Linked DNA regions of Macaca fascicularis. The protein of the gene in region 6 interacts with the protein of the main gene of each other region in a pairwise test. Links are inferred from orthologs where the notes say so. Each region holds a gene or a part of one and is shown on either strand. Other genes may lie near its edges.

Region 1 (4,245 bases), on a different chromosome or scaffold from region 6:
GAGGTGAGAGGAGGATTTGGGTGGGGAAGTGAGATGTCTGTTCAGTTACCACATTTGGGGTGTCACTTCACCCCAAGAGACCTTTCAGCCCTTCAGTCTAGTCCCAGTACACCCTGCCTTGATCACAAACTTGTGTCTCTAGACCACATGGCAGCAGGCATGTGTGTCTGTGTAGAAATCTCCCCCTCTGTTACCACCACACACCACAAATATGGGTCTGCACTTAGAGCCACAAACAGGCAGCACACTCCAATTCACACGCAACGCAATTGCAACCATTTATCAACTCCAGCCTATGGACAGGGGAGCGCCAGGGGCTCACAGATAACTTATGGTTGCAATAGTCTCTCTCCTTTTCAGCTCCTGCTCAGCTCACAGTTTGGCTAACACAAGTTCAGGGAAATTGGGGAGTAAAATTGCTCCAGTCCCAAGGTGGGGAGCCAGGGGTGATGTGGAGGTAAAAGGAAGCCCTTCACAGCACACCTAGCCTTAACTGGTCCTATGTGGGGGCTGGAGGGGAGAAGAGGGTAACTGAGTGGAAGAGAGGAAACAAAAATATATACAGGCTTCTCTTCTTCTTACCCTCTCTCCCCCTGCTCTGGAACTCAAAAAAGTTGCCAAATAAAGCTAAGCCAATTAAAAATAATAGCCACCAGCTACTAGCTTCCTTCTCCCCAAGTGAAAAACACTGGATTTTTTTTATATATAAAAAATTTGGTTCATCCTACACTAAGTACCCTGTCTTACCAATTTGCAGTGCTATTTCCTTAATGTGATTGCCTGGGATGGGACCCGCAGCTGCATTAAATATGAAAGAGGGAAAAAACTGTTAATAATTGATTCTAGCCAAATGGCTGCCTTGCAATAATGGGCTTTTCAGGGAGAGTTTGGGGTTTTAGGGTGGTGGGTCGGTTTGGGAGTGTGCGGGGAGAGTTGGGGAAGAATGTCTTCCCCAAATGCCAGCTCTTAGGATTCCACCTGGCGGGTTGGAGGTGACAGGACCCTGCAGGGAATGGAGCAGCTCTTTACTCTCCAGCAGGCAAGGATGCACTAAAGAGCCCTGGGGCCACTCCGTCAATGGGAAACCTAGCAGGGCAAGGAGAGACGAAAAAATCCCTACTTCCCAAAAAGAGTAAGAAACGAGGACTTGATTCACCAGCCTGCGAGTCATTGTTTGGGGCTGAGTTCCCTCGCCGAAGGGCCCTTAAAAATAAGTAATAGGAGAACCCTCTCTTCTCACCTAGTAGCACCTCCTGGAAATCAGCCAGACTTGGCGTTCTGACTGGGGTGCTTTTGAGGAGTGGGAGGTGATGGGAAACTACCCATAAACGGTAAAGTTCTCCGCCTCTCTGCAACCCTCTCTTCCCCCACCCCTCCTCTCCCCGGGATGTCCCGATATTCGGAAGCGATTCCCCGACTCCCCAAGAGGCGGACAGCCCGGGCTGGGGCTAGGGAGCCCCGCAGAGAGCAGCGGGGTGGGGGAAGGACCGCAGAAAAGGAAGCGGCAGCCCCGGCGAAGATGCCGAGGAGGAGAGGGGCCACCAGAGGGAAGGCTCCCGGGGAGGGGCCGGCGCATCCGGGGAGGGGGCTCAGTCACCGCGTCCTGGGCTTCCCCCGCCCCTCCCGGCGCCGGTTGCGGACTCTGAGCGGCTACAGCACGAGATCTGCTAGGAACAATTCTCCGCCAAGCTGTTGCATCGCAAATAAAATCCTAATGAGCCCCCTCCCCCTTCCCCTTGGCCGGCTTTTACGGTCTGCGCGTGGAGCGGGGAGCTCTGCCAGCCGCACGGTCCCGGGCAGCCCAGTGCGCTCCGGCCCTTGCCCTCGCCGGCTCTCCGCCTCGCTGGCCGCTGGCCCCCGGCCCCACCAGCTCCTCTCCCGGCCGTCGCCGGTCTCTGGCCGGGCTTTCAGCTGGGGCCTCCGGGAGACAGGGGAAAGAGGGCCGAGAGAGCTGCAAGTCGATCCCAGAGCCCCTGTTCCCCGCACGACTTGAAGAAGTGGGGGCAGCGCTCCTCTGGCGGCCTCAGTCTCACCTTCCAGAGCACGCAGCTTTCCCCCTTCCCTCCGACTTTCCTTCCTCTCCCCTCCTCCCGGCCCGCTCTCCGGCCACCGCCGCAGTTTCCCTTCACATGGTCGGCAGTTTATTGCCTTTCCCCTCCCCGCCCCCTCCTGGCCTTCGGCCTGGGTATTTCCTCACTTTTTATAACTTACTTTGATCCGGCCTCTCTTTGTCCTCGCTTCCTTCGCAAATTTTATTGTCCCCGTAGCCGGGTCTTTGATTAGACAGCACGGCCTCCCTGCCCGCCGAAGTTTCCAAACTGTACTCGGGCGTGCCCTGTTTAAGCAGCTCCCCAGGCGCGCCCAGCAGCGGCTCCGCCTTCACCGCCGCCTGGCCCTGCCCCGGGGCCGCTTCGCCGCGCGGCGCCGGCTCCAGCCAGGTGCGGAGGTACCTGCTCTCGGCCGGCGGGACGCCCTGGGGCTGGATGTAAGGGTGGTAGACCGACGGCAGGCTCCCGGACGCGTGCGGGCTCAGCGGCGCCCAGGAGGCGCCGAACACCGGCGCTTTGGGCTGGAAGCTGCACGAGGGGAACTCCAGGTGCTCCGCGTGGCCCGGCTGCCGCGGGCTCGCGTACTGGCCAGAAGGAAACTTGGCTGGAGGCGCGTCCTCACTCTCGTGACTTATGATCGAGTCGACATAATAGCTGCTAAGCGTCCCAGAAATGGACATTCTCAGACATTATCCGGGCGCTCGCAGGGGGAAGGGAAGCGCTCGCGCGGCGGCGCCCAAGCAGGGAGAGGTGGCACCCGGACCGGTGTGAGGGCTTTCGGACGCGACCCCCCCAGCCCCCCACCCTCCCACCCCCACCCCCTGCTCAACTTCTCAGCCAACAAAGTACAGTGGAGCAGCCAGGCTCAGCGCTCCTTGCAAAATGATTGGTCAAAGTTTTTCCGACTGCCTGATAAAGCGTCAGCTCCGACATAAATCAATCGGGCGAGGGGGCTGCGCTCTCGCTGTCATCCGTCCGCACCGCATTCCATATCGAGGATGGATTGTTTTATGCTGATGCAATGTGCTATCACGTCAGGGCTCCGGCGGCCACGTAACCTCAGCCTGAGCTGCCGGCTGCCCGGTCCCCCCTCCCGCTGCAGGAAGGGGGGCAGTTCTCGACATGGGGCGGCGGGGGCGGAGGAGAGGCGGAGGGAAGCGGCGGGCTGCCTCGGGAGGGACGCAGGCTGTGGAGCCCTCTCCCCAGGCGGGTCGGGGAGGGAGGGAGAGCAAGGGCGGAGGGAGGGAGAGAGCCCCAGCCCGGGGAGCAGCCACAGAGGCCCGAGAGGATACTGGAAGAGGAGGTGGTCCTGTCCCCCCCAACACACACCTCCACCTCCACCCCACAGGCCCTCATTTCCTCTTCTCTGTCCCCTTGACAGAAGATGTTTATTAAACAACAGCAGCAGCAGCAATCCACAGGAGATGAAGTAAAAGGATGAGGGGAAAAGTTGGGGATTTTAGGACGTTGTCCGCTTTGGAGGGGGCTCTCTGTGCACTATTTGTAGAGATTTACATGACTGGGAGCTTCCCTGGACCCCTCAGTAGCTGAGGGAAGAGGAGAGAGGTGAATAAAACGGCTGAGTGTCCAAGAATCCACTATTTGTCCTGAAATTAGAAACTGCTTGAGGTTAAAGGGATCCATCAGGCCCCGGAAACGTGAGCCTAGGAAAGAGTTTAATACAAGGAACCAGAGCGCCTTTACATTTATTGGGCCTTTCTGACTCTGGCCAGAAGGATGGATTTAAGATGGTGGTGGTGAGGTGGGGGCGGCGGGGGGGGGGGGGAATTGCCATTTCTCCTTTTCTCCACTGAATAACTGAATAACCACCCAGGCCCCTAAAATTGCCCTGATGAAGGAGCTGAATAGCAGAAAGGGTTAAGGACACTTCCCTGAGGTGTCACCAGAGTAGAGGCCTGGGAAAGGATCCCCAGTCAGCAAGGGAAGGGGTCCCAAGTTATCTCCCCTTCCATCCAAAGAGGAAGGAGCCTGGGCTGAGTTTTCAGCCCTCCTGTATCACTCCTCTCACCCAGGGCTCCTGCTCTGGAGACTTCCAAACACCGATATAGGGGCCAGTGTGGACAGGGAGCCCACAGTCAGTCTCTTCCCCTCGCTGACTTAACCCCTGCAGACTGCCTCACTGGAACTTCCAAATAGCCCTTTTTATATATATCTACTCTGTGGCCCTGGGCAGGGA
Region 2 (3,386 bases), on a different chromosome or scaffold from region 6:
CTCCTGCCCTCCCAGCCTCCTGCCCTCCCCACCTCAGTCTCCTTCGATCTGAAACCAGCGCCCCCAGCGTGGTCATGGAAGATAGTCATGGCATCCGCATCCACTGAGATGGACGGAAACTATCCAGAGAGTTCTGACGGTGTCCCCGTCCAACAACTGTCACCTCCACACCTAAAACCCGCCCCCCCGGGGACGGGGCCTCTCTGTGTGAACCGTCCTGCGAGTGCAGCAGGGGTGCACATGGCTGCGGGTGCATAGCCCATGCATTCCTCGGACCTCCCGGCGTGGCCACCGCCACAGTGCAGGGGCTTGAGAGGCAGCACGGGGACCGTCACATCTTCGGTTCCAGGGTCTGGTGATGTTCCTGGCTGAGTCCATTGGGATGCTGGCTTCAGAAATGCCCGGGGTGCGTCTCTGAGCACTGCTTCCGGCCTGCCTCCCAGATGGCCCCATTGCTCCCCCAGTCCCTCCCGAGGCTCACACAGCCAGACCAGGTCCTCTGAAAAGACACAGCATCTTGGGTTTATTTGGGGTTGGGCACTGCAGGTTCAGGCACAGTTTGTTCCTGGGTAGAGTCACAACTGCTCCTCTCAGCTCTCTCGGCACTTCAGGGGCTGCCCCTGCAGGTCCCCTCCCCACGTCCCCGTTTCCTGCACACACGTCTCTTCCCCCCTCCCTGCTCCCCGAGTCTCTCATTCTTTCACCAGCCTGTAGATATGGTGCTGAGCCCCATGCTCACTGGCTGACACCTCGAAGACATAGGCGATGCACAGCAAGGTCTCCTGTGTGTCTCTGTTGGTGACCACCTGTGGGAGAGAAAAAGACAAGGGTGAATAAGGCCCCAGACGAGGGCACGCCCTCGCTGCTACCCACACACAGACTCCAGCCACACCCGCGGCACACCTGCAGGATGGTGAAGTTCTCCAGCACGCTGTTCATCATGTACTTCTCGGGGAGATGCTTCAGCTTGTGGATGAAGTTGATCATGTACTCACAGAGCGGGGAGCGGTGGATGCGGTAAGAATAGTGTCCATTCTCATAGCGAGCATACTCTGTCTGCAGGGCCCGGGGACAGCAGGGGCTTAGAATCCCATTCTGACCACCTTCGGCCCAGACCCAACTCCATGGGAAGCCCCAGGACCCAGACTCAACTCCATGGGAAGCCCCAGGACCCAGACCCAACTCCATGGGAAGGAAAGGCAGGAGGCCTAGGGGCCCTTAAGAAAAGAGTCACCCCCAGCCAGGGGCCGTGGCTCACGCCTGCAATCCCAACACTTTGGGAGGCCAAGACAGGCGGATCACCTGAGGTCAGGAGTTCAAGACCAGCCTGGCCAACATGGTGAAACCCTGTTACTATTAAAATACAAAAATTAGCCAGGCACGGTGGCACGCGCCGGTAATCCCAGCTACTCTGGAGGCTGAGGCAGGAGAATCGCTTGAACCTGGGAGGCGGAGGTGGCAGTGAGCTGAGATCATACCACTGCATTCCAGCCAGGGCGACAGAGTAAGACTGTCTCACACACACACACAAAAAGTCACCCTGTTAGGTTGGTGGACATTAAACAAGACCTCCTTCCTCCACGGGTGACCAGCAGGAACCGGGGATGGCAGGAGGGGAGCTTAAGGAGACACAGGAGCAGTGGGAAGGAGCCTCTCAATCCTGGCTGTACGTGAGGACACCACGGGGGATACACAGGGACCCCCGGGAGTCTGGTGGTGATCATGCAAGTCTCCATATCTACACGCACCCATGCACGTGCACAAAGGAGCGCGTATAAAGCTGGTGAGATCTGAACCAGCTTGGTGGACTGCATCAATGTCAATTTCCTGGGTGTCCCCTTTATACTTTAGTTATACAAGACATTGCCAGGGCAAGAACTGGGTAAAGGGCACATGGGATTATGATCCCAAGTGGATCCACAATTATCTCAAAAGTTTTACAAAATAAATTAGAAATAAATAATTGGAGGCACTTTTTTTTTTTTTTTTTTTTTTTTTTGAGACGGAGTCTAGCTCTGTCGCCCAGGCTGGAGTGCAATGGCCGGATCTCAGCTCTCTGCAAGCTCCGCCTCCCGGGTTCACGCCATTCTCCTGCCTCAGCCTCCGGAGTAGCTGGGACTACAGGCGCCCGCCACCTCGCCCGGCTAGTTTTTTGTATTTTTAGTAGAGACGGGGTTTCACCATGTTAGCCAGGATGGTCTCGATCTCCTGACCTTGTGATCCGCCCGTCTCGGCCTCCCAAAGTGCTGGGATTACAGGCTTGAGCCACCGCGCCCGGCCGGAGGCACTTTTTAAAAACCAATAATGCCTGGACTCTACCCTAGAGATTGAGGGGTGCTGAACGGGTTTCAGGCACTGGTGTGTTTCCAAAGCTCCCAGGAGACTGTAGGGTGCAGCCAGGTGGAGAAGCACTGGGGGAAGGAATCTCTCTTCCCTGATGCTGGCCTGGCATCTGGCTGCATTTGGCATGAGGAAGGTTATCAATAACTGATAGGCTGTGAGACTAGGACTTCATGAATTCAGACCAAGCTGGGGACAGGGTGAGGAGAGGGACGCAGACCGGCCTGCATGGCGAGGGGGTCTGGTTTAACAAGTGTGTGGGCGGCACAGGGTCCTGGACTCTCAGAGTGCACAGGTGTTTCGGGTCGGAGGCCTTCAGTCCCAGCTCCTTGTCACTGCCACTGTGCAGCGGGCCCAGAACACAGGGTGCTGCAGGAGACTGTGTCACGGACAGTGAAGACAACTTGGCCCTTGTTTAGAGATAAACGGAGGATTTTATCACAACCCCCCAAACACCCACCGGAAAGCAGGGTGGCTGGGTGGGGATCCCCCTGAATGTGTGCTCCTCACCACTGTCCTGCACTGCCCTTGGCCGGGGGTTTAGCCGAGTGGGAGAAACCACCGCCTAAAAGGCAGGCCTGACTTTTCTGTAACGTCCACTAGAGCGGGGTCTTCAGGTCACCCACAAGTAGAAAATCAGGGAGTTTTAGGCATTCATGGAGCAAAGTGAGCAGCGGATGGAGATCCTAGGCACCCAGGCCTGCTTCTGCATTAGTGAGCGGTGTGACCACGTGCGGGCGGTCGGGGGAGGCCTCTGCTCTCTCTGGGCCTCTACTGTGAAGCCAGAGGGCTGGACTAGGTAGATGCCCCTGGGCCCTGCCTGTGCTGCGGCTCTGATCTTGGAGAGGACCGGGGGCGCCTGTAAGGACGTGCTTGGAAGATCCTGAACGGGGAGCAATGGCTCTGGGGAGCGCCCCTCACCCACCAGGGTGGCCTCCTACCTCAACTTTCTCCACCACCTGCTTGCCGAAAGAGCAGACCTTGGTGGAGCAGGTGATAATCATGTTCTCGGGGCTCTCATACTGGCTGGAGACCCCATAGAAGGA
Region 3 (4,172 bases), on a different chromosome or scaffold from region 6:
CCATCTCAGTGTTGGTGAGTGGACTGGGGGAAATACGGCACCAGACGTAGCACACAGTATATCCTCAATAAATGCGGACATGGCCGGGCATGGTGGCTCATGCCTGTAATTCCAGCACTTTGGGAGGCTGAGTTGGGTGGATCACCTGAGGTCAGGAGTTTGAGACCAGCCTGGTTGGCCAACATGGTCAAACCCCATCTCTACTAAAAATACAAAAATTACCTGGGTGCAGTGGCATGTGCCTGTAATCCCAGCTACTCAGGAGGCTGAGGCAGGAGGATCACTGGAACCCAGGAGGCAGAGGGGGCAGTGAGCTGAGATTGCGCCACTGCACTCCAGCCTGGGCAACAGAGACGTTGTCTCAAAATTAAATAAATAAGTAAAAGTAAATGGGGACCATCTGTCATGGTGCTACTTTAACGAAATTATGCAGGTCACGTCTCTGAACCTCGGTTTCCTCATTTGTGAAATGGGGATAATAAACCCTATCTACGATGAGAAGAAAATGAACGGATGTGTGTTAAAGTACTCAGCACTAGGTCTGTGCACCTCAGCCAGTCAAATACCATATCCCAAGTGCAGTGGAAAGAGGAAAGGCTGTGAGGTTGGGCAGGTGACTTAGGATTCTGCCCCCACCTCCTCTCAGCTGCCCCAGGACACAGGCTTGACCCCCGTGTGCCTCAGTTTCCTTGTGCACAAAACCAAAAGCATTTTCTGTCGCAGAAGAGCACTGGGAGATTCACACACCCTAGAACGGCTCCCAGCACACAGTCCCTTCTGCTCTGTAAATGGGAACCTCCTCCCCATTTCCCTCCTCTGCCCTTGTTCAAACCCACCAGAAATGCCACCAGTTAAAGCCGGGCGCTCCATTTCTGGAAACCCAAACAGCTCTAAATCCAGACCAACCTGGGTCTAAGGCCTTCAGTCTGAGACTTTATTTTGTGGAGATACAAACTACTTTTTAGTCATTTCCGAAGCAGACGGGACGGCAGAGGCTGACAAACCACAGGGACCATTTTAAATCCTGGGCCTTTTCTTCTGGGAAGTTAGGCAAGAACCTTCCCAAATGTTTGCCCATCAGGCTTTCTGCCAGGGAGTGACTCATTCCACGGCTCCCCACAGGCATATTTTATTTGGGGGTGGGGGATGCAGGGAGGGCTTGGCCTTGATGGGGGAAGGAGAGGGGGCATTTCCAGCAAACTCAGAAGGTGTTTTCTTTTTTTCATTTTCAGGACAAAAAAGAAAAAGAATGTGGGTCTTTTTTGCTTCCTTCCAGGTTTTGTTTGCTAAAAGAAGACGTCCAAAGTTCACTCGGTAAGCTCAAACTCGCTGAGTCCGGGGCAGGCGCTTCCAGCCGGCTCTGCGTCCCTTTCAATGAAATTCTTCTTCCATTAACGACACGGTTTTTAAACGTGCCTTCAAGACCTGCCTGCACGTACTGTACACCAAACTAAGGCGACATTTTCCCCCAGAAAAGGCAAGCTGAATTTGGAAAAGTCAGAGCAAGTAGGGAGCTCTGGAGTTTCTAAAGTTTGCCTTAAAACAATTAAGACTTTCAACTGCAAAGATTTTCAACAGTTAGAGAGTGCGCACACACACACAAAAGCCTGTCAGTCAAAACTGCAAGGACAGACCTCGAAAGCTGGTGTCCCAAGCCCGCTGTGATCAATTTGTTACCGTCCTGGGACTCACACTTGGAGCCTAAGCGAGGTATACATAAATCAAAAGATCCATCTACTTAGCAGGGCGGGCAGAGAGGCACCCACATACACAGGCAAGTATAAGGTCAGCCCCCCAGGCCTGGCTGAAAAGAGTCAAGAACAAAGACAGGGGAGCCCGGAGGGTATTTAGGAAAACACCGTCCTCGGGTGCCCGGCCGAGGCCCACCACAGCCTCCGCTCGCCCAGCCTGTGTGTGCAGAGAGGGTCCTGCCAGTGGCCCTGCCACAGCCTGGTTTTGAGACCTTCGCCTCTGTCAGGCCCAGCCAGGCTCTGAGTCTGTCCTCCCGGCCCCTGGTTCACCAGATCAGGCCCAGTCCTGACCCCCAGCCCATGCCAGGCCGATTCTCTCTCCACGGGCTCCCTGGCTTGGGGGCCATCACTGTGCAAAGGCCTGGTGGGCGCAAAGGGGGCCCTCAACCTCAGTAATAAACACGCTCGCGCGGTCCTGCACACTCGTTATACTCACACCCACACAGGCACACTTTCGCCCTCCTGGGCTCACGCATGTGCGTGCACACAAATCACTTTGGAATGCACACACGTGCACACACACACTCCCTGAAACCCGCACGTACTCCCTGCGGCGCCCGGCACACTCCTCCGCCCGTCGTCCCCACTCGGGAAGTGGGTAGCGGGGAGCCATGCCCGCGTCCCCGCACGCACTCACCCCAACAACGCCACCAGACGCTCCGGGGTGCACACGCACACCCGCCGGGGACGCGCACACCCCGGGACACGCGGACACGCCGCCGCCCCCGCCCGCGCCCGCCCGCCCGCCCACCGACACGCTCAGCCCCGCGCGGCCACACGCGCGCCCGCCTCCCGCTCTCCCCCGCGGAGCCCCGGGCGCGCGCCCGCCCTCGGCCCGGCTGGGGGTGACGGCCCAGCCGCCCGGCCCCCGCCCCTCCCCGGCCCGCGGGGCCCCACCGGCCCGGCCCCAGCCCCAGGCTACTCACCGGCGCGCGGGCGGGCTCGGCTGCCGCGGGGGGACCGGTGCGCGGGCCCGCGGGCGGCTAGAGCGGTGCGTCCCACACGAGTTGGCGGCGCCGCGGCCGCACGCCAGTCCGCTCGGTTCCGCCGCCGCGCGCGCGCGCGCCCGCCCCTCCCCGCCGCGGGGCCGCGCCGCCCCCTGCGCTCGTGCGCGCTGCCGCCACGCAAGCTTGAGGGGCGGGGGGCGCCCCGACGGCGTCCTTCCTGGGCCTGGACCCCTCGACTCCGCCAAGTCCTGCGGCCGATCCGCTCGGCAGAGAAACCCCTTCCCCATTTCAGAGATGAGAAGACTGAGGCCCAGAGTCACAGGGCGCAGGCCGGCGTCTCCCCCTCTTCTCTGGCTTTAGACTTACGATGAGGGTCTGCAGGCAGCCAACCCTTGAACTCCTCCCGTGCATCTTCGGATTCCCCATCACCTAGCATTGCTCCTGCCACAGTCCTAGTTATACTGAAATTGGCAAAGTAACAAGCACTTATTTTGCACCAGCTGAATGCAGGCACTGAAGTAGGCTCCAAGAGTATTCCGATGAGGGGAAGGCCCTGTCCCCCGCCCTCAAAGTGCCAGCGACTCTTCATCTGGAGCTCCCACTTCCTGTGGCCCCCAGGGTCCAGCAAGAGCCAATGTGCAGAGGTTTCTGGAAGTGGTAAAAGTCCCCACTAAAGAATGCTGAACGCGCCCTCTAGAAGTCAGAGCCTCCCTGGGACCCAAGCAGCTCAGTTCTCACTTCACCTCCTCCCTGCGCCGAGAGCAGCCGCTCCTGGCTGGGTCGTTTCCACCCCTGCCGCTTCCCCTCCATATTCAAAACTGCGCTGCCCCCCAGGAGGGCTGGAGCTAGGGACACTGACTGCCTGCTGAGGCACAGCACTGTACTGGGCACAGGGTGAATGCGTGTCGGGCTTCTGTTTGCCAAATGAGTGAAGGTGCTTTAACTGGCCGTGATGTGTAATAATGACACCAACTGAGCGTCCACCATGTGTGCCAACGTTACCCTTGTGCCCATTTTACAGATGGGCTTAATGAGGCTTAGAAATGAAATTTCAGGCTGGTTGTGGTGGTTCACACCTGTAATCCCACTACTATGGGAGGCCGAGGTGGGAGGATGCCTTGAGGCCAGGAGTTTGAGGCCAGCCTGGGCAATATAACAAAACCCCATGTCTATTAAAAAAAAATGTAAGAATTTGCTGGGTGTGGTGGTGCCTACCTGCAGTCCCAGCTACTCGAGAGGCTGAGGCGGGAGGATCTCTTGAGGAACTCTTGTCATAGGAGTTAGCAGCTGTAGTGAGCTATGATCGCACCACTGCACTCCAGCCTGGACAACAACAATAAAAAGCAAATTCTTTTGTTCAGAGTCACGCAGATGGTAAGTGGTTGCGCTAGAAAGTGGACGGCAGATTGTCTAATTCTAGTACCTGTGTGTTCCAATTACTAGGCAGCCCTGCCTCAGGAATAGCATAGCCCTG
Region 4 (4,097 bases), on a different chromosome or scaffold from region 6:
GGGAGGACAAGATTAAAACCTCCAGGGCACCAAACAAAGGCTAACTGGAAAGACTGGTCTTTAATCCCTTATCTCAAACTCCTGGGCCAGATGTGGTTTGGAATTCAAAATTTTTTGGATTTTACAAGACTAGTTCTAGGATACATCACCTAACACCCCCAACGTGGCCACGGGACATCAAGCTATAATCAAATGCATTAACTGTCCTGCAGCAAAAGTATGAATTTCCCACATTAAAGAGGAGAAATAGAGATATAAAATAGCCTCACAGAATAGTTCCACTTTATAATCTACTTTTGCCATAAATGGTGCCAAATTTAAGAAAAGGATTTCAGTTTTCAGGGCTTTTTAGATTTCGGAATGATGAGCAAGAGATTGTGGAATGATACTACATTACAGGAAGGCTCCTTAAATGATCAATCTGGGTGCCTTAAATCCACAAGGTATATTTTTTCACACTACATTTTGACTTTCTGTCTCATCCATCTTTCTGTGAAGAGTAAAGCTCATCCAAAGGGTTATGCTCTGAATTTATATGCAAAGCAGTACAGATTAGTGACACTGATTCTTTTAAATATACCTGGTATATTTCTGGGGCTGCCAAAATTTTGTAAGACAGAGATTTTAAAAAATAGATTTCTTTCTGATTCAAGGCACATTCTTAATCAATGTGCTTTAGAAGCCATTTTATCAAATCACGTCTCAAAACATTCCAAGGGCAGTCAGTCCTCATCCTACTTCATCTTTTTAAAATGTTTAATATTTTCTGCCTCCCATTGCAAAAATCACACTTAAACTCTAGATGTCAACCTAAAAACGTACAAGAGCTTTTCAAAATTATTTCGTGTGCAAGCCATACCCCCCCCACTTAGGCAAGATCAAGTGGAGACCGAGCCCGCATGTGCCCACGCTTTCCTCTCCTGGCAAACCCCTTCCTTCACTTGCATTCGAAACCCCACTTAAGTGGTCCCAACTAATACCTCCAGCTGCTGGCTCCGGAACTGGCCACAGGTGGACTCTCCTGAACCCCTCAGAGGTCCCCCAACTTGTGGAACCCGTCCTCCCTGCGGCTTTTGTCACATAGAGGGGCCCCCCAACATAACTGAGTCACCCCTCTTTCCCTGCACATGGGGGAGTCCAGCTGTCCTACTAGGAAGGCCCCATTTCCCTCTTCTGGGGGATCCTCTATTCCAAACCCTTCCCCCATCACGCCGAGAGGCGATACGTTCCCCCTGAAGAGTTCCCTGTCCCCGCACTCTGAAGGGGGGGTCTGTCCCCCTTATCTTCCCTCCCCTTCCGGCGTCTCGCGTGGACACCGAATGGGTAACGGTCACCGGGGGCCGATTTTCCCGCGCGCGGGCGCGGCCTCCCCGACAAGCCCCCGCGCGTGCGCGCGCTGGTCCGGTCGCGATCTGCGGCGCGCGCCCCCCTCCTGCGTCCCCACTTAGCCCCAGGCCCGCTGCGTTCCGAGGTACGCGCCCCCTCCCCTCAGCCCCGCCCAGCCCCGCGCACCAGGCCCGCGCTCCCCGAGCTCCATCCTTTCCGCGCCGAGCTTCCGGCTCCCGGCGCCGGGGCCTCAGACGCCGGGGTCCCGAGCCGGCGACGCCACCCCTCCAGCCCACCCGGCCCGGCCAGCGGGCCCGCGCCTCTGTCTCCACTGCTTCACCTTTTAAATTTTCCGCCATCTTTCCCCACGGCTAACGACATTCGGGCCTAGCCGGCCTCGCGAGAAGAGAGCTCGCGCGGGCGTGGCCGGGAACGCGCAGCCTATTGGCCGCGGCTCGCGACTCGCAGCACCCGCGCGGACCAACCGGAGAGCCGTGACCGAACCCCTCCCTGCCGCCCGGCTCGGTCCCGGAGGCGGGTGCTCGCCGCACTTTCCCAGAGTGCGTCTGGGCGGCGGCGGCAGCGGGAGCGACAGTGGCGGTAGCTAAAGTTGCCCGAGGCCCTGCCCGTGCGCTGGTCTGTCTGTCACACTGCTAGCCAATCACCTTATCAGCCAGTCACAGTGGCTCCTGAGTTCTGTCATACTCCCTATTATCACCGTCAGTCAGCCCGTCATCACATTTTAACCCCAAGTAGGCCGGGGCTCCCAGGTGGACTAGCGCCCCATCCAACCGCTCAGGCGGTCGCACCAGACAGATGCCTAATCAGACCCCCGGCCCCCATCCACACTGCCGGGCAGTCAATACCGGTTTCCATTTGTGCCCCCGGGCCAGCGGCGACTCCCTGGAGGCAGGCAGACAGCACTGTTAGCCAGCCAGCCTTATCATTCCCTATGACCGTCCTGTCCTCAATTAGTCCTCCTCTCCACCCACCATAGCCCTGGGACCAGCTGCGATTCTCTCTGGCTAAATCCTCTCATAGACTGCAGCATCCAGCCATGCCCCCAGGCGGGCTGTGATTAGGTCGGGGCAAGCTGTCATTGTCAGCATCTAATACAGCCCTGTCGGACACTATCAGTTGATCACTGTCTTTCCCTCAGATTACTTCTCATTCACACCATGATCAGTCACAACACCCAGCTAGGCCCTCAAAGCAAATAGTCACAGCAACTAGAGGTAGGATTAAGCCTCCACACCACCTGTCAGTGGGTCAGCCAGTCTGTCATTTCTCAGGCGACTCATCCCCACCATTGGTCAATCAGTCTCCTCGGATGCGTTGAAGCTGAGATTCTATCAGAGCAGACAGTCCGTAACCACGTACAGCCATCGAGTCAGACGGTTATGCTGATTTTGCTGCTGGCCAGCTGGCCTGTGACTCGTTCAATCCGCCCCTCATCACATCGTCAGTCATTCTCAGCATCCGACTGACCGCACCGTCTGTCAGGTGATCAGTCAGTCAGAGCACCCAGCCAGGCCCTCCAGCATGCTGTGATTCGAGCAGCGTGGACAGTTGATTACCAGATACAGCTGCCTAGCAAGCAGCCACGGATCTGTTGATCAGTCAGCCTGAGGTTTCCCCAGGTGGCCCTCCTTTACACAGTGCCAGACAGTATAACATCTAGACATTCCCCCAGGCCAGCTGTGATTCCTGACAATAGTCATTCACAACATCTGGCCACCCAGGCAGGCAGTAGCACCACGGACCATCAGTTAGTCAGCCTGCAAGGTCCTCAGGAGGCTGCCTGTCTTTTCCACTGTCAGGCTACCAGCCCCAGCCAGTCCTAGGCAGGCTGTCATTCAGTTAGATGTTCAGGAAACCGCGCTGTCACTTCCTCAAATTGCCCCCTCTCCCTGTCACTCCATGAGTTCTGTAGTCAACCAAACGGTTATACAGTTAACCAAACAGATATTCTGTCTGCCTGCTAGTCCAGCTGTGAGCTCATTAAGAAGTGACTGGCTGGTCTGAGGTTCCGTCAGCCCTAGCTTGCCCTGAGTGGGACAGACAGGAACAGAAGTCCCACCATGCATCCCCTTCCCTCCCTTATTCCTTCTCGAGCAGAATCAGATTTTCGTCCTCATGTACCCCCAGTCTCCTCGGGCAGCAGGACTCTCCCACTCCTGGGTGTCCAGGAGACCTGTCCAACCCACAAGAGTGATTTAAGACAGGACCTCTGCCTGTCTGGATCTGAGGGGGAGACAAAAGGGTCTGTGGCCGGTGGTGCCCCAAACCACTATAAAGTAGTGGGCAAAAGCCTGGATTCTGGAGCCTGACTACCTGGACTCATATCCAGGCTCTGCCATTTACTAAATTACTTGTCCTTAGGCAGTTTCTTTTTTTTTTTTTTTTTTTTTTTTTGAGACGGAGTCTCGCTCTGTCGCCCAGGCTGGAGTGCAGTGGCGCGATCTCGGCTCACTGCAAGCTCCGCCTCCCGGGTTCACGCCATTCTCCTGCCTCAGCCTCCCGAGTAGCTGGGACTACAGGCGCCCACAACCGCGCCCGGCTAATTTTTTGTATTTTTAGTAGAGACGGGGTTTCACCGTGGTCTCGATCTCCTGACCTTGTGATCCGCCCGCCTCGGCCTCCCAAAGTGCTGGGATTACAGGCGTGAGCCACCGCGCCCGGCTGTTTCTTAAACTGGTCTGTAAAACCTCGAGTAAGTGACCTTGGGGTGGGTGTCTCCTGCTCATCTGGAAAGTGAATCATTCTGGACT
Region 5 (3,281 bases), on a different chromosome or scaffold from region 6:
TCTTCTGAAGAAAGGAGTATCAAATAATTTGCATCCCTGGAGGGGAGCAGTGGCTCATGCCTGTAACCCCAACACTTTGAGAGGCCGAAGCAGGAGGATCACTTGGGCCCAGGAATTAAAGACCATCCTGGGTATCATATCAGGAACCTATTTTTTAAATAATTAAGTTGCACTCCAAATGTTGAAATCCCTGAAGATCAAAACCCTTGGCTGGGTGTGGTGGCTCATGCCTGTAATTCCAACTTTGGGAGGCTGAGGAAGGCAGACCACCTGAGGTCAGGAGTTCAAGACCAGCCTGTGCAACATGGTGAAACCCCATCTCTACAAAAATTAGCCAGGCATGGCGATGCACGCCTGTAGTCCCAGCTAATTGGGAGGCTGAGGTAGGAGGATTATTTGAGTCTGGCTGCGGAGGTTGCAGTGAGCCAAGATAGTGCCCCTGCACTTCAATCTGGGCAATAAAGTGAGACTTTGTCTCAAAAAAAAAAGTAACTCAAAGGTAGGAATACCAAATGTTTATTCAGAAATGGATAATACATAATCACCCTTCATCCCTTAATGCCTCTTCCTCTCCTTCTGCATGGGAGACACAGACGGGTAACACAGGGGCATGGGAAGTGAAGGAGGACACAGGACTAGCCCACCACCTTCTCTTCCCGGTCTCCCAAGATTACTGCTTATAGAGTGGAGGAGGCAAACAGGTCCCCTCAATGTACCAGATGGTCACCTACAGCACCAGCTCCAGATGGCCACGTGGCTGCAGCTAGATTCAATCAAACTCTGTGACAACCAGAAGATCCCTGCTTTGGGATCAGAGGGAGGGTAAAGCCATGCAGGCAGGATATTTACCGTCCCTACCCTAAGCAGAGTCCAAGCACTGAGTCCCCTGTTCCCAGTACCTGAAAAACCAGGTCCAACTGCCTTCTGGATGCTCTCTTGGGCCAGGAAGGGTAAAGTGTGGGAGGAATGTCTTCCAGCTGCTAACAAGAAGTCTGCACCCACTTGAAGGGGTTAAGAGAATAAAAAGCAGCATTCTTTAAAGAACTGGAAGTGGAGCACCACCAGGCCCCTTCCTTGGACTTTCCCGGCCTGGGCAGCCTCAGAGTCTGCAGACTGAAGCTGAGTTCAAACCCTGGGTCCTTCCTGCCTGACAGACTGACCTCTGGAAACATGAGTCTCTGGGTTTTTCTTCACTGGGTCAGCCTCAAGCAAGTCTCGGGAACTCTTGAGTATCTCTGGCATGCGCCTTTCCCAGCACTTGCTACTGATTTTGCAGAGCTCCCAGAACTGTGCTCCCCAACTGGTTCCAGCTCTGCCAGCCTGGATTCCCTTCATTCCCAGCAAACCAGCAGGGGACCACTCAGTGACACCAGGGACAACACTGGCCTGGTCATTCAGGGACTGCCCCTGGGCTCTATAGTTTTGTCCCAACTGCCTGTGCCTATGCTGGGGAAACAGCTTGCCTGGGAGAGCTGCCCTGCTCCCTTGACTCCTCCTCTGCCAAGGCAGGAAAATAACCCTCTGGTCATGGATGGATGGGTCACTCACGTAAGTGGGAACAAACAGTGCCCCTTGGTGGCAGCTGGATATATGCCTCCAGGCACTCCTGACCACTGTCCTGTTGACAACTTAGGCCAGAAATGGAGAGCCAGGAGCAAACCGACCTCTTCCATTCAAATAAGCTCCTAACCCACAGCATTGCAGAATGGGAGGTTGAACCTTTGAAAGGCCCAACCAGAGGAGAGCTGGCAGCTGCACAAAACCAGGGTGATGAGTGCCAGGCGAGGTGAGAACCAGGAGGGCTCACAACACAACCCCCTCCTAGCAGAGACACCCAGAAGGGAAAGAGAGCTAGGGTAGGGCATTCAGCACAACTCAAGGAAAAGGGAAAGGTGAACTCTGGAGAACTTCCTCTGGGCGGAGACAGCACGGGCCTCCAAGCCAAGAGCTTGGACACTCTTCCCAGCGGTGCAGCCTCATCCTGCCCTTGCCATTAGTGAGACCTGGAGCCACTGGGGAGAGGACAAGAGGCCTGAGACCTGCTCCCCACCCAGGCACCTCCAATGACCAGGCAGAGGAGCGGCACAGCTCTCAGGCCGACCTGGCTCCCATCAGGATACCAGGGTTTTCCATCCCCTCCGTTGTCTGAAAAGCTTAATACACACAAAGGACAGGCAGCCCGTCGGCCCCTGGAAAAAGCAGGGTCCTTCAGACAGCCCCCGCCCTGCATCCCATGGGGCCACAAGAAAGCCACCCAGAGAATTCAGTGTACCATTTCCAGATAAGAAATCAGCTTGGGGCTGAGGCTGGCGGAGGCACACTGAAAAACACAAGCCTAACTTGGTGATGAGATGGAGAAGAAACATACTACAGGAAACGTTAACGTACAGAGAAAGCACATGGCAGAACACAACACAGAAATGCGGGTCCCATCCAGTGAGGAAGCTCTTTACCCCTGGTGACCCTTCCCACAATCAGGGGTCTCCAGTCCGATGGCCCATTGGTCACAAGCTTTGCCTTGGGGAAACAGAGCCACCCTCCTCTGCCCCCACTTCCAGCTGCCTCACTCCCCTGCTCAAAGCTTGATTTTGAATTCTGTGGGCTGCGTGGTCACAGAGGCCCCTGAGGACTTGAAGAGTGCCTTCAGGATGGTGTCAGGGTCCACTTCGGCAGGGGGGTTGGAGGAGGAGGCAGAGTTCACCCTGCGAGGCAGCTCACTCTCCTTTTTCACCGATGGGCTGTCACTCAGCCGCCTGTGGAGAGCAGAGAAGGGTAAAAAAAAAAAAAACCTAATTGGGGAACAAAAAGAGGGGTAACATCTGGCTCTGTCTCCATCAGAGCCAATCATGAGGTGGAGTTCTGTGTTCCTAGGATGATGATGATGCACACAGCTGGGAGACCCAAGCAGCCTCCCCTCCACCTTCCACTCAGATATTTCTAAATCAGAAGGCTGAGAACGAGATCATAATGCTAGCCCCTGTAGGGTCAACCCCTGGGGAAATGACAAAGCAAACCATTTTGGTTGAGTTTAAGCATTTGAAACAACCAGCTGCCATTAGAACAAAGGAATGCAGGCAGTTTACCCATTAGAATAAAAAGAGATGGACGGAGTTCCCTCTCCCCAGCACCCCGCCTTTGGAACTCACAGCAGGATGGGCTGGTCTGAGGTGATAACGTTCCCATTCATGTGAAGGTTGCACTTCATCGGCTGCCCTGAAAAACCAGAGAAAGAAAAAGGCTCTGCTATGAGACCTCAGCTCCTCACAAAAGAGGAGAAGGGC
Region 6 (4,016 bases):
CCCGGCCCGGCCCCGCCTCCGCGGCTCCCCCGGCCCTGGCCAGCCCCCGCCCAGTGCGAGTGGGCGGCGCCGCGCGGGGGAGGGTCCGAGGGGCGTCTCCGCCCCGGGACGCGGACACGCGCAGGGACACGCGCAGGGACACGCGCAGGCACCCGCGTCACGCGAATCGGCCGGGGCGCACGTAGGGGCTGTTCGGCGGCAGTCGGGAGCCCTGCCTCCGACGCCTTGTGACTGCGTGTCCGGCGGCTCGGTTCGGCTCGACGCGGCGGCGGCGGTGGTCACCCTCCGCCCCAGCCGGGGCCCCGGGGCCAGCGGCAGCTGGTCATTGTTCCAGCACAAAGGGCCACGGCACGGCGGCGGCCGCCCCTCCCCCTCCGCTTCTCCAAGCGAAGCTTCCTTGACACGCTCTCAGCCTCAGAGTCCCAAGCGAGAGAGGTCGACGACCGGCCGTCCCCCACTCTCCGGTGCCGGGGCCCCGCGCCCTAGCGCGAGTCGGAGGCCGAGGCTGGGTCCGCACCTGCCCCACCAGGGGCGGGTTGGAGGCGGCAACCTGGGCTTCGCAGAGGCGGCGCCACCTGGCGGCCCGCTCGAAGAACACACCCAGCCGCCCCCCACCACGCGGGCCCTGCCCCACTCCCCGGCACGGTGCCCTTTTCCCCGCGAACCCAGGCCGGCCTCTGGCGCGGCCCCGTGCTCCCCAGCCTCCCCTCGGGACCGCTTGCTAAGACAGAGGTCATTTCTCGGAGAGAAGCGGCCCCTGGCTCCCCAACAATCACTGGGGCAAACCGGTCCAAGCCTACAGCCCAAACCTACAGGAGCCGCACGGCAGACAACATTCCACTTTCTCAAGGTCGCAAATATTCTCACCTTCTCGCACACAATACAGTCTCCCTAACACCCACGCGACCTTTCCCACATGCAGCCTCACCACGCAGCCACAAGCAGTCTCAGCTGTCACGTGGGTCCGCGTTCCTTCTTTCCATAATCTTCCAGTCCAACTCACACACAGACACGGTGTCACAGGCCTGTTGGGCACAGGCTTCCACAACAATCCGCAGTCCTTCGCACCCAGTCACTGTCTCAAATGCACTTAGTCTCCTAACCATCTTTCACGCATTGACAGCCTCTATTCACAGTCACTCACACAGACAACTTCTTACAGCCATGCTTCGCAAATATTCTACCGCACAGCCTTTCCCCTAGGGGTCTCGGTGACCCGGTCAGGTCAGCTGATGCCTGCATCCCTGGGCAAAGACAGCCTTTCTCCCCTAACCACCCCCTCCCCCGCAGGGCCAAGGCCTGCCAGAGCTCGCCCGGGCCCCAGGAAGGAGCATCCCCCCCTTCCAGGCCACAGCCCTGGCCGGCTCTCAGCTCTATTTTTAGCTCCATGGACAGGGTTGTTTTTCTTTTTCCCTGGAAAGGGAAACACAGCCCAGCCACCCTCAGACTCACCCCAGACCCTCAGCCTCACAAGAACAGACTGAGACCCTCTCCCCAACAGAGCCCCCTCCTCTGGCCTTGCCCTGATCCCTGCCTCCTGGGGCACCGAGAACCTCCTCCCCTTTCTGGCAGCCTGCCCAGCTCAGGCGGCAGCTGGGCTCAGCGTGTGTGTAGGGGTAGGGGGTGGGGCGGGAAGAAGGCATCGAGCTACTGCCCACTCCCTCATTCCCTGGGGGCAGGGGCTCGTCCTCCTTTTTCTAGGGGTCTAGGCCCACTCTGGTATTGAGGGGGCGTTTACACTCATGCATTTTCTGCGGGGGAGGAGACTCCTACTCCGGCAAGGAGTGGAGGTGAGGGTAGGAAGGGGACCCGCAGGCGCTCAGGCAGCTGCTCTCTGGGCTGGCGGGAATAGGCGGGGGCAGCTGTCCACTGCCATCAAGGGCCTGTCTCCGAAACCTTCGGGGATGCAGATACCAAGAATGTGCTGGGGGAAGGACGTACAGGAGCCCAGGTTAACCCCAGCCCTGCCCAGCAGCCCGGCCCTCCTGCTCCGCCCCGGCTCCAGGGGGCGCTGTGCTCCGGTTCCTGGGAGAGGGCTTATCCCGGCTCCAGGAGGAGAATGGAACGCCGTCCGGCCTGGAACCAAGCAAACGGGCCTCGTGGTGGGGTTGGGGGCACAGGCCACTGGTGTGCGGAGCTGTCACGTGCCCGGCGCCTGTTTACGTCTTCGTCTTCACCTGTGGGCGGCCAGGAAGCAGGAACCTCTGGGTGCGTCCCACCCGGCCCGCCCCCGTCGGCGGTCACGGGGCTGCCCCTTTCCCGCACCCAATGCGCGACCGCAGAGTGCCCTGCCCGCTGTGGGTCCGCGCGGGCTGATTGGCGCTGTCCCTGGGAGTGCAAGGGTACAAAACTGGGCGCGTCCTTTCCGACTGCATGTGTGTTCGCGTGTCCCAAGTGCGGGCGTGGGTCTGTGCACGCGTGTTTGGGGCCCGTCGGCGTGCGTTTTCGTGTCGCTTCCCTGTTTGGACTCTTCGCGGGCGACCCACCAAGTGCGGACCCCCCTCCTCACTCCACCCCTAGCTTCCCCAGAAGCGGAAAGTTCGTTCAGGAGCGGGGATGTGCGGGAAGCAGGAGTTCCTGCACCTCCGCGGCCCCACCACTCACCCAGCGCCACCTGCGCCTCGGCTCCAGCTCTGGCCCCGCTCCTGCTCCAGCGCGCCCACCTCCTCGCCGCGACAACGCCGCCTCCCTAGCCCGCTCCGAACTCTGGGCTCCGAACTCCGGGCTCCGGGTTCCGGGCTCCCGGCTCCCGGCTCCGGGCTCCCGGCTCCCGGCTCCGGGCGCCCGCCTGGCCTGACCTGGTGGGGCGGGGCGGGGCGGCTCAGGCCGCGCCCCCCACCCAGGGAGGGGAGTGGTCTGTCCCGCACTCCACCAACAGCCTACCCAGTTCCCTGCCCCACAGGGACTCGACGGTGGCCGAGGCTGCCCCTCTGGCCTTCGCCTTCACAGTTTACTGGATTTGGTTTTTGACGTGGGGAAGGGGGCGAGCATCTCGTGACCGATAATTCGACTACCTGGCTGCCTTAAACTAAGCTGCCCTATAGAACTTGACTCTGCCACCCTCCCTGCTCCGTTGGGAGCCCAACCCGGTCCACTCTTGACCCAATCCCCAAATATAGGGAAAACCCCTGGGAATCAGACAAAGGAGGCTCGAGTTTCACCAGAGCAGCTCCCACCTGCCCCCACCATGCACACACCTCAGCGTGGGGCTGCCCAAGCAGAACCAGCACAGCCCCCTCCCTAGAGTAGGTGTCTGCCCAGGTGAGCAGGCCTGCCGGTTCTGACCCCCCACGGGGCATGACTGGGCTTCTCTTAGACTCATAAAATCCTACCCACAGGCACAAACAGGAAGTTGGCCTGTATTGCAGGGAGGCCCCAGGGGCTCCCTCCCGCCATGGCACTCAAGGCAGCATGTGGGAAGGTCTTTAGGTATCTGGGCCGTATGGGCTGCTGGAGACCTCGGTGAGTTGTTGTTTTTTGAGACGGAGTCCCGCTGTGTCGCCCTGGCTGGAATGCAGCGGGCGCGATCTTGGCTCATTGCAACTTCAGCTTCCAAGGTTCAAGTAATTCTCCTGCCTCAGCCTCCAGAGCAGCTGGGACTAGAGGCATGTGCCACCACGCCCGGCTAATTTTTGTATTTTTAGTAGAGACGGGGTTTCACCATATTGGCCAGGCTGGTCTCGAACTCCTGACCTTGTGATCCACCCACCTCGGCCTCCAAAAGTGCTGGGATTACAGGTGTGAGCCACCACACCCGGCCGAGCTGTTTATTATTAAACCCATCCACAGCAGAGAGGAAGCTGCTGGAGGACCAAAGCTGCCCCCTCATAGCCAAGTGTGACATACACTATCAGTTAGAGGACAAGGCTGTAGATCCAACTGGACCTGGCTTAGCCAGGCCTTTCCTGAGTTCTCGGGGAAATGTTTTTGAATTTTTTTTTTTCTTCCCAATCCACTGAACCTGTGAGTCAGGGAGATTCTTAACATCCAGTTGGGTGTAGGCAGACCAGTCCTAT
Region 7 (4,240 bases), on a different chromosome or scaffold from region 6:
CATCATGTATGTCTGGACTGTTCAAATATCTACAAAGAGTATTTGTTACTCTTATAATAAGACAAAAAACCCTAAATCTTTTAAAAAAGTAATTTTCAAAGTCTTCCTTGAGAGAGTTTAATGCCCAAAGGGGCCTGAACCATGTTTGTCCCACAAGATATTTTACAAACAAGATGACTTCATGGAAGAGTAAGATGGAATTTCTTATTACCGTCTTGTTCACATTTTCGTCACCAAGCTCTCACGCTCTGGGTCAAAGATCCTCATAGACACCAGTAAGCTTTAAGCTAGGTCTTCCTAGAATAGAATGAATTGAGCCTTCCTCTTCTCCAGTTGCATGCCATCTTACTGCCTTACCTTACCACAACCATACTAGCAGTTTAGCCTTTTTTTTTTTTTTTTTTTTTTTTAAGGGGCATGCATCTCTTTGAGAATATTATGAATGCTATGCCAAGAAAAATTCACATTTAGGCATACGATATTGCATTCTATTTCCTAGGGTTCATGGACCCCCATAGTTCATCTCCACTAATTAAGTTTTCTGAGGCCATGACATCAAATTTAGGAATGTAGAAACACATATCCGGTGTATAGAACACTTTGAGAAAAACTAATTTGTACAAAACTGTAAGCCAGATAAATTGGTGGATAATTATGGGCATTACATACGTGGTTTTTGCTCTGCCAAATAATTTCCATTAGGACATCTATAAATAGCAAATCCATATAATGCATTTGAACCATATCACTGTTTGCCCAAATGCTAAGCCCTTTCCAGAACACACCTACTGCAGAGCAACAGGCCAATTCAAAAAGTTCAATACTAGTTTTACCCTTGAGTTTAGCTACATTCATTTACAGAATTCTAGCTTTCCTCTAAAATGGCCACTAACCTATATCACTTTGGGGACTGATGTTCAATGGGAGGCAATGATACCCAGAAACTTTTTGACTAAGGAGAGGTAGTGCATATGTATGGGTTATCAGATTGCTTTGGAATGGATCATTTGAGATGAGATGGAGTCCATTTCTTTATTTCAGGAAGGAAAAGGATAAACATGATTGAGTCCTTACAGTATACCAGGTGGACATTAGAGCATCTCATGTACTCCTCACAATGACTCTGGAAGATGGGGGCTTTTTCCCTAGTTTCCAACTGAGTTTTAAAAAAGTTGACACATATACCCCAGGTCTGGCAGCCAGTAATTAACAGAAAAAAAATAAAAATAAATAAGAGGCAAAGCTTTCGGGCTTAGATTACTATCATTGCTGGTTAACTTCAGGGGGCTGGGAAATGTACAGTGCCTAGGATCACACCAAATCCAGACAGCCACTCAGGCTGTGATTTTCATTCTCCTGATTGTATCAATGGCTTCCAGGGATGCGTGTGAAGGGAGACAGGATCGCACTTTTCCTTGCCCCATCTGGCCTGTCCCTATCCTACAAACTGGCAACCCCTTTCCTTTGCTGGTATACACGGACTGCCTCACATTCCCCAAATGCCTGGGGATCGCACAATGAAATCAGAATAAAGAGCCAGGAACTCTACATTTAAAAGAATCCACGTAACTACAAACTCCATCTTAGGATTTCCACCACCAGCTGAGTTGCCATTTGGCATTGCACTGCCAGCAGCCACATTTTACTCTATCCTCCTCCAAGATTTTCAAACATGTGCCTGGCACCCACGAGAGTTTCAGAGGAAGTGTAACAGTGACAGGAGAAGTGCTGCGGGTTTGGTTTTGTGTATACGTGTTAGTGTAACTTTCATAAAAGCAAGTGTAAGTTCTTAGAGTATTAACTTTCACAAGAGGAACATCAACTTTCAGACAAACGCAGGCAAACCCTTTTTCTTTTTCTTTCTTTTTCTTTTCTAGTGAGTGGTATCTGAAGGTAGGGGTGATCCCTGTTATGCAAAAGGTCTCTGAGACCCTTGGGATACATACATGCCTTTCTGGCCCAGTACTCAAGCTTTTCTGGAAGAGTATCCCTCGGCTGTCTCCATCCCTCAGCCTTCAAAAGCCACCTACTACCCACCTACACGTGCTTTGGACACAAGCAGGTTCAAAGCACAAAGCAACCAAGCCACCACCCCGCAAGAAATCGATCTCCGAACCCGGAGTCACCATGAATTGCGCGTGTGGATGTGTGGGCGAGAAGGCTGGGTCCACAGGGATGTGGTCCAGCATCGTGAGCAGCGGGTCCTACCGGACGTTCAAATCTCAGCGGGTCCTGCCGGACGTTCAAGTCCTCCAGCCCGGGGCGAACTAGCAAGTTTCAGACCCCCACGCCCGTGCTAGATCGGAGGAGAGACAAAGCTGGACCGCGAGGAGAGGAGAGTGAGTTTGTGTTCTCTTGGGGCAAGTGTGCTCGGTACCTTGGATTCCTGGCTGCTGGTGGATGCAGGAGAGGGCGGTTGCTCGGCGCCCGCCGCCTCCTTGGGCAGCCCGTCCACGTCGTCCTCGCGGGGGCAGCTCGGAGGGATCATCGTGGCCGCGCGGGAACGGTGTTGGGCTCCCGGAGGAACAGCGAGGCTGCTGTCCTCCTGCGCGCCCTGCCCGCCGCGCGCCAGGCTGCTCAGCTCCGGGTCCCGGGGACTCCCATCCTCGCCGAGGCGCCGACGTGCCCTCCTCCAGCCTCGCCCCCTCTCCCGCCCGGCCCTGCCCACCTCCCCGGCACTTCCGCCGGCGTGGAGGAGAGTGCGCCCTGCCCCACCCCGCCCCGCCGCGCCCGCGGCCACCTCGCGGGCGACCTCGCAGTCGTGACTGCCACTCGGCAGCGGGCGAGCGGGCTTCAGCTCGCCCACAGGAGGAGGAAGGAGGCGGGGAGGCAGCTCCGGGGCGGGGCTGCGCGGTCAACGCCTGGAGTAGTGAGGGCAGGCAGGGGGCAGCGCCCTGGAGAGGGCTGGGGGAAGGCTGGGCGCGCGCCGGCACAGAGTGCGGGTGATTCTGTAGAGGGGATGCTGAAAATTCAGACCCAAACCCCAAAGAATAGAAAATCTTTGATTTTCTATTTTGATTTCTGGAATGATATAGCCAGAAAGGACCGCTTGCAACAACTCCCTCATTCCTCACCCGAACGAATAGTGACTGAGAGAGACAGTGACTTAGCTAAGCTATTTATAGGGTTCAGTGACAGAGAGCAGGGATCGGAGTGGGGGTCCCCTGAATCACGGTCACAGCGCTTCCTCCATTCAGCTTTGATCTAAAGCAGAGAGATAATGCGGGTGTGTCTATGGACACCTGTTCCTCGTTTGTTATGCACTTACTGTGCTAAACCCTTTCTTTTTACCTTATTTAATCCTCCCAGCTACTCTATGCGTCTAGGGATGATCACTTCCATTTTATAGATGAGGAAATCGAGGCTGTAGGAAGGCTGAGTAATTTGCTTTAAGTCACTAAACTATAATTGGCGAAACTGGAATTTGAACACATTTTGGCTTCAAAATCCATGCATTTCCGACTGTGGAGCCTCAAATCTAGGCTAGGTCTTGGCTGAAGAGCAATTGGATGTTGCAGTTTAGCAAGAGTTGAGGACTGTTCACAGAGGGGCAAACCAGCCTGCCTTGCTTAATCTTTTGGAAACATACGGATAGCCCCATTGAAAAAAGATACAGAGGGTCCAGTTTCTTTTGAAGACAACCTCAGTGTGCGGGGAAAGGAAATACAGCTAGATATTTGAAAGCCTCTTTTTCCCCATTAATACAAAATACCCTCAACTTTTTAAAAGAAAATTGCAAACTTCTGTTCAGATTTTTAAAATTAGCTGTAGACGTTTGCAAGAGCAGCTTCATGGATGTGCAACCTGTGCAGTCACACAGGGCCCCGCACGGATGCTGCCATCTTGAAATTCGTTAAAAATATTTAATGAGACCACATTTTCATTTTGTACTTGACCCTACAAATTATATGTCTGGTCCTGCATGCATTCCCTAGTTCATGTCTTTTAGAATGAACTGACTCTTACTCTTTCCATCCCAGATGCCAATTGAAAGCTACTGTTCTAAGTGTCAACCTCTTTCTCAGCATTGAGCTTTCAAAATGCTCTAAATTTTCTGGTGAACCTCAGTACTGGGCCAGATTGGCCAGCTAAAATGGCTTCAGTTTTTTCCGTCTCACAACGCAATTCCTGATTGTTCGATAGAGACAAAATTCTAGTAGCCAAAGTCACAAACACAATGACAGGAGCAGCCATATCAACACATTTTTATCAAGCATCTATTCTGTATCAGAATTGTGCC

What was found.
Region 1: the proteins of LZTS2 (region 6) and HOXB9 interact in binary tests that used the Homo sapiens proteins (3 or more experiments, as listed by UniProt). The two-hybrid records come from large-scale screens. The link is inferred for Macaca fascicularis from reciprocal best matches to the Homo sapiens genes LZTS2 and HOXB9.
Region 2: the proteins of LZTS2 (region 6) and TEAD4 interact in binary tests that used the Homo sapiens proteins (3 or more experiments, as listed by UniProt). The two-hybrid records come from large-scale screens. The link is inferred for Macaca fascicularis from reciprocal best matches to the Homo sapiens genes LZTS2 and TEAD4.
Region 3: the proteins of LZTS2 (region 6) and NEK6 interact in binary tests that used the Homo sapiens proteins (3 or more experiments, as listed by UniProt). The two-hybrid records come from large-scale screens. The link is inferred for Macaca fascicularis from reciprocal best matches to the Homo sapiens genes LZTS2 and NEK6.
Region 4: the proteins of LZTS2 (region 6) and SUV39H1 interact in binary tests that used the Homo sapiens proteins (3 or more experiments, as listed by UniProt). The two-hybrid records come from large-scale screens. The link is inferred for Macaca fascicularis from reciprocal best matches to the Homo sapiens genes LZTS2 and SUV39H1.
Region 5: the proteins of LZTS2 (region 6) and POLDIP3 interact in a two-hybrid assay, tested with the Homo sapiens proteins (2 studies listed by BioGRID). The two-hybrid records come from large-scale screens. The link is inferred for Macaca fascicularis from reciprocal best matches to the Homo sapiens genes LZTS2 and POLDIP3.
Region 7: the proteins of LZTS2 (region 6) and STAC interact in binary tests that used the Homo sapiens proteins (3 or more experiments, as listed by UniProt). The two-hybrid records come from large-scale screens. The link is inferred for Macaca fascicularis from reciprocal best matches to the Homo sapiens genes LZTS2 and STAC.

Annotation. Positions count from the first base shown.
Region 1 is NC_088390.1:58,092,806-58,097,050, reverse strand, and holds the start of HOXB9 (homeobox protein Hox-B9), read right to left. Parts: upstream 2,801-4,245; 5' UTR 2,729-2,800; coding exon 2,212-2,728; intron 1-2,211. UniProt on the Homo sapiens protein: Sequence-specific transcription factor which is part of a developmental regulatory system that provides cells with specific positional identities on the anterior-posterior axis.
Region 2 is NC_088385.1:3,923,042-3,926,427, reverse strand, and holds the end of TEAD4 (transcriptional enhancer factor TEF-3), read right to left. Parts: coding exon 3,282-3,386; intron 1,057-3,281; coding exon 904-1,056; intron 807-903; coding exon 693-806; 3' UTR 501-692; downstream 1-500. UniProt on the Homo sapiens protein: Transcription factor which plays a key role in the Hippo signaling pathway, a pathway involved in organ size control and tumor suppression by restricting proliferation and promoting apoptosis.
Region 3 is NC_088389.1:19,820,475-19,824,646, forward strand, and holds the start of NEK6 (serine/threonine-protein kinase Nek6), read right to left. Parts: upstream 2,801-4,172; 5' UTR 2,678-2,800; intron 2,459-2,677; exon of another isoform or gene 2,389-2,458; intron 1-2,388. UniProt on the Homo sapiens protein: Protein kinase which plays an important role in mitotic cell cycle progression. Required for chromosome segregation at metaphase-anaphase transition, robust mitotic spindle formation and cytokinesis.
Region 4 is NC_088395.1:48,851,276-48,855,372, reverse strand, and holds the start of SUV39H1 (histone-lysine N-methyltransferase SUV39H1), read right to left. Parts: upstream 2,801-4,097; 5' UTR 2,637-2,800; coding exon 2,585-2,636; intron 1,710-2,584; exon of another isoform or gene 1,686-1,709; coding exon of another isoform or gene 1,667-1,685; exon of another isoform or gene 1,538-1,666; coding exon of another isoform or gene 1,513-1,537; intron 39-1,512; exon of another isoform or gene 1-38. UniProt on the Homo sapiens protein: Histone methyltransferase that specifically trimethylates 'Lys-9' of histone H3 using monomethylated H3 'Lys-9' as substrate. Also weakly methylates histone H1 (in vitro).
Region 5 is NC_088384.1:9,003,351-9,006,631, reverse strand, and holds the end of POLDIP3 (polymerase delta-interacting protein 3), read right to left. Parts: intron 3,214-3,281; coding exon 3,147-3,213; intron 2,754-3,146; coding exon 2,576-2,753; 3' UTR 501-2,575; downstream 1-500. UniProt on the Homo sapiens protein: Is involved in regulation of translation. Is preferentially associated with CBC-bound spliced mRNA-protein complexes during the pioneer round of mRNA translation. Contributes to enhanced translational efficiency of spliced over nonspliced mRNAs.
Region 6 is NC_088383.1:109,955,244-109,959,259, reverse strand, and holds the start of LZTS2 (leucine zipper putative tumor suppressor 2), read right to left. Parts: upstream 2,801-4,016; 5' UTR 2,605-2,800; intron 2,209-2,604; exon of another isoform or gene 2,178-2,208; 5' UTR 1,915-2,177; intron 1,271-1,914; exon of another isoform or gene 868-1,270; intron 9-867; exon of another isoform or gene 1-8. UniProt on the Homo sapiens protein: Negative regulator of katanin-mediated microtubule severing and release from the centrosome. Required for central spindle formation and the completion of cytokinesis.
Region 7 is NC_088376.1:12,056,813-12,061,052, forward strand, and holds the start of STAC (SH3 and cysteine-rich domain-containing protein), read right to left. Parts: upstream 2,801-4,240; 5' UTR 2,489-2,800; coding exon 2,378-2,488; intron 1-2,377. UniProt on the Homo sapiens protein: Promotes expression of the ion channel CACNA1H at the cell membrane, and thereby contributes to the regulation of channel activity.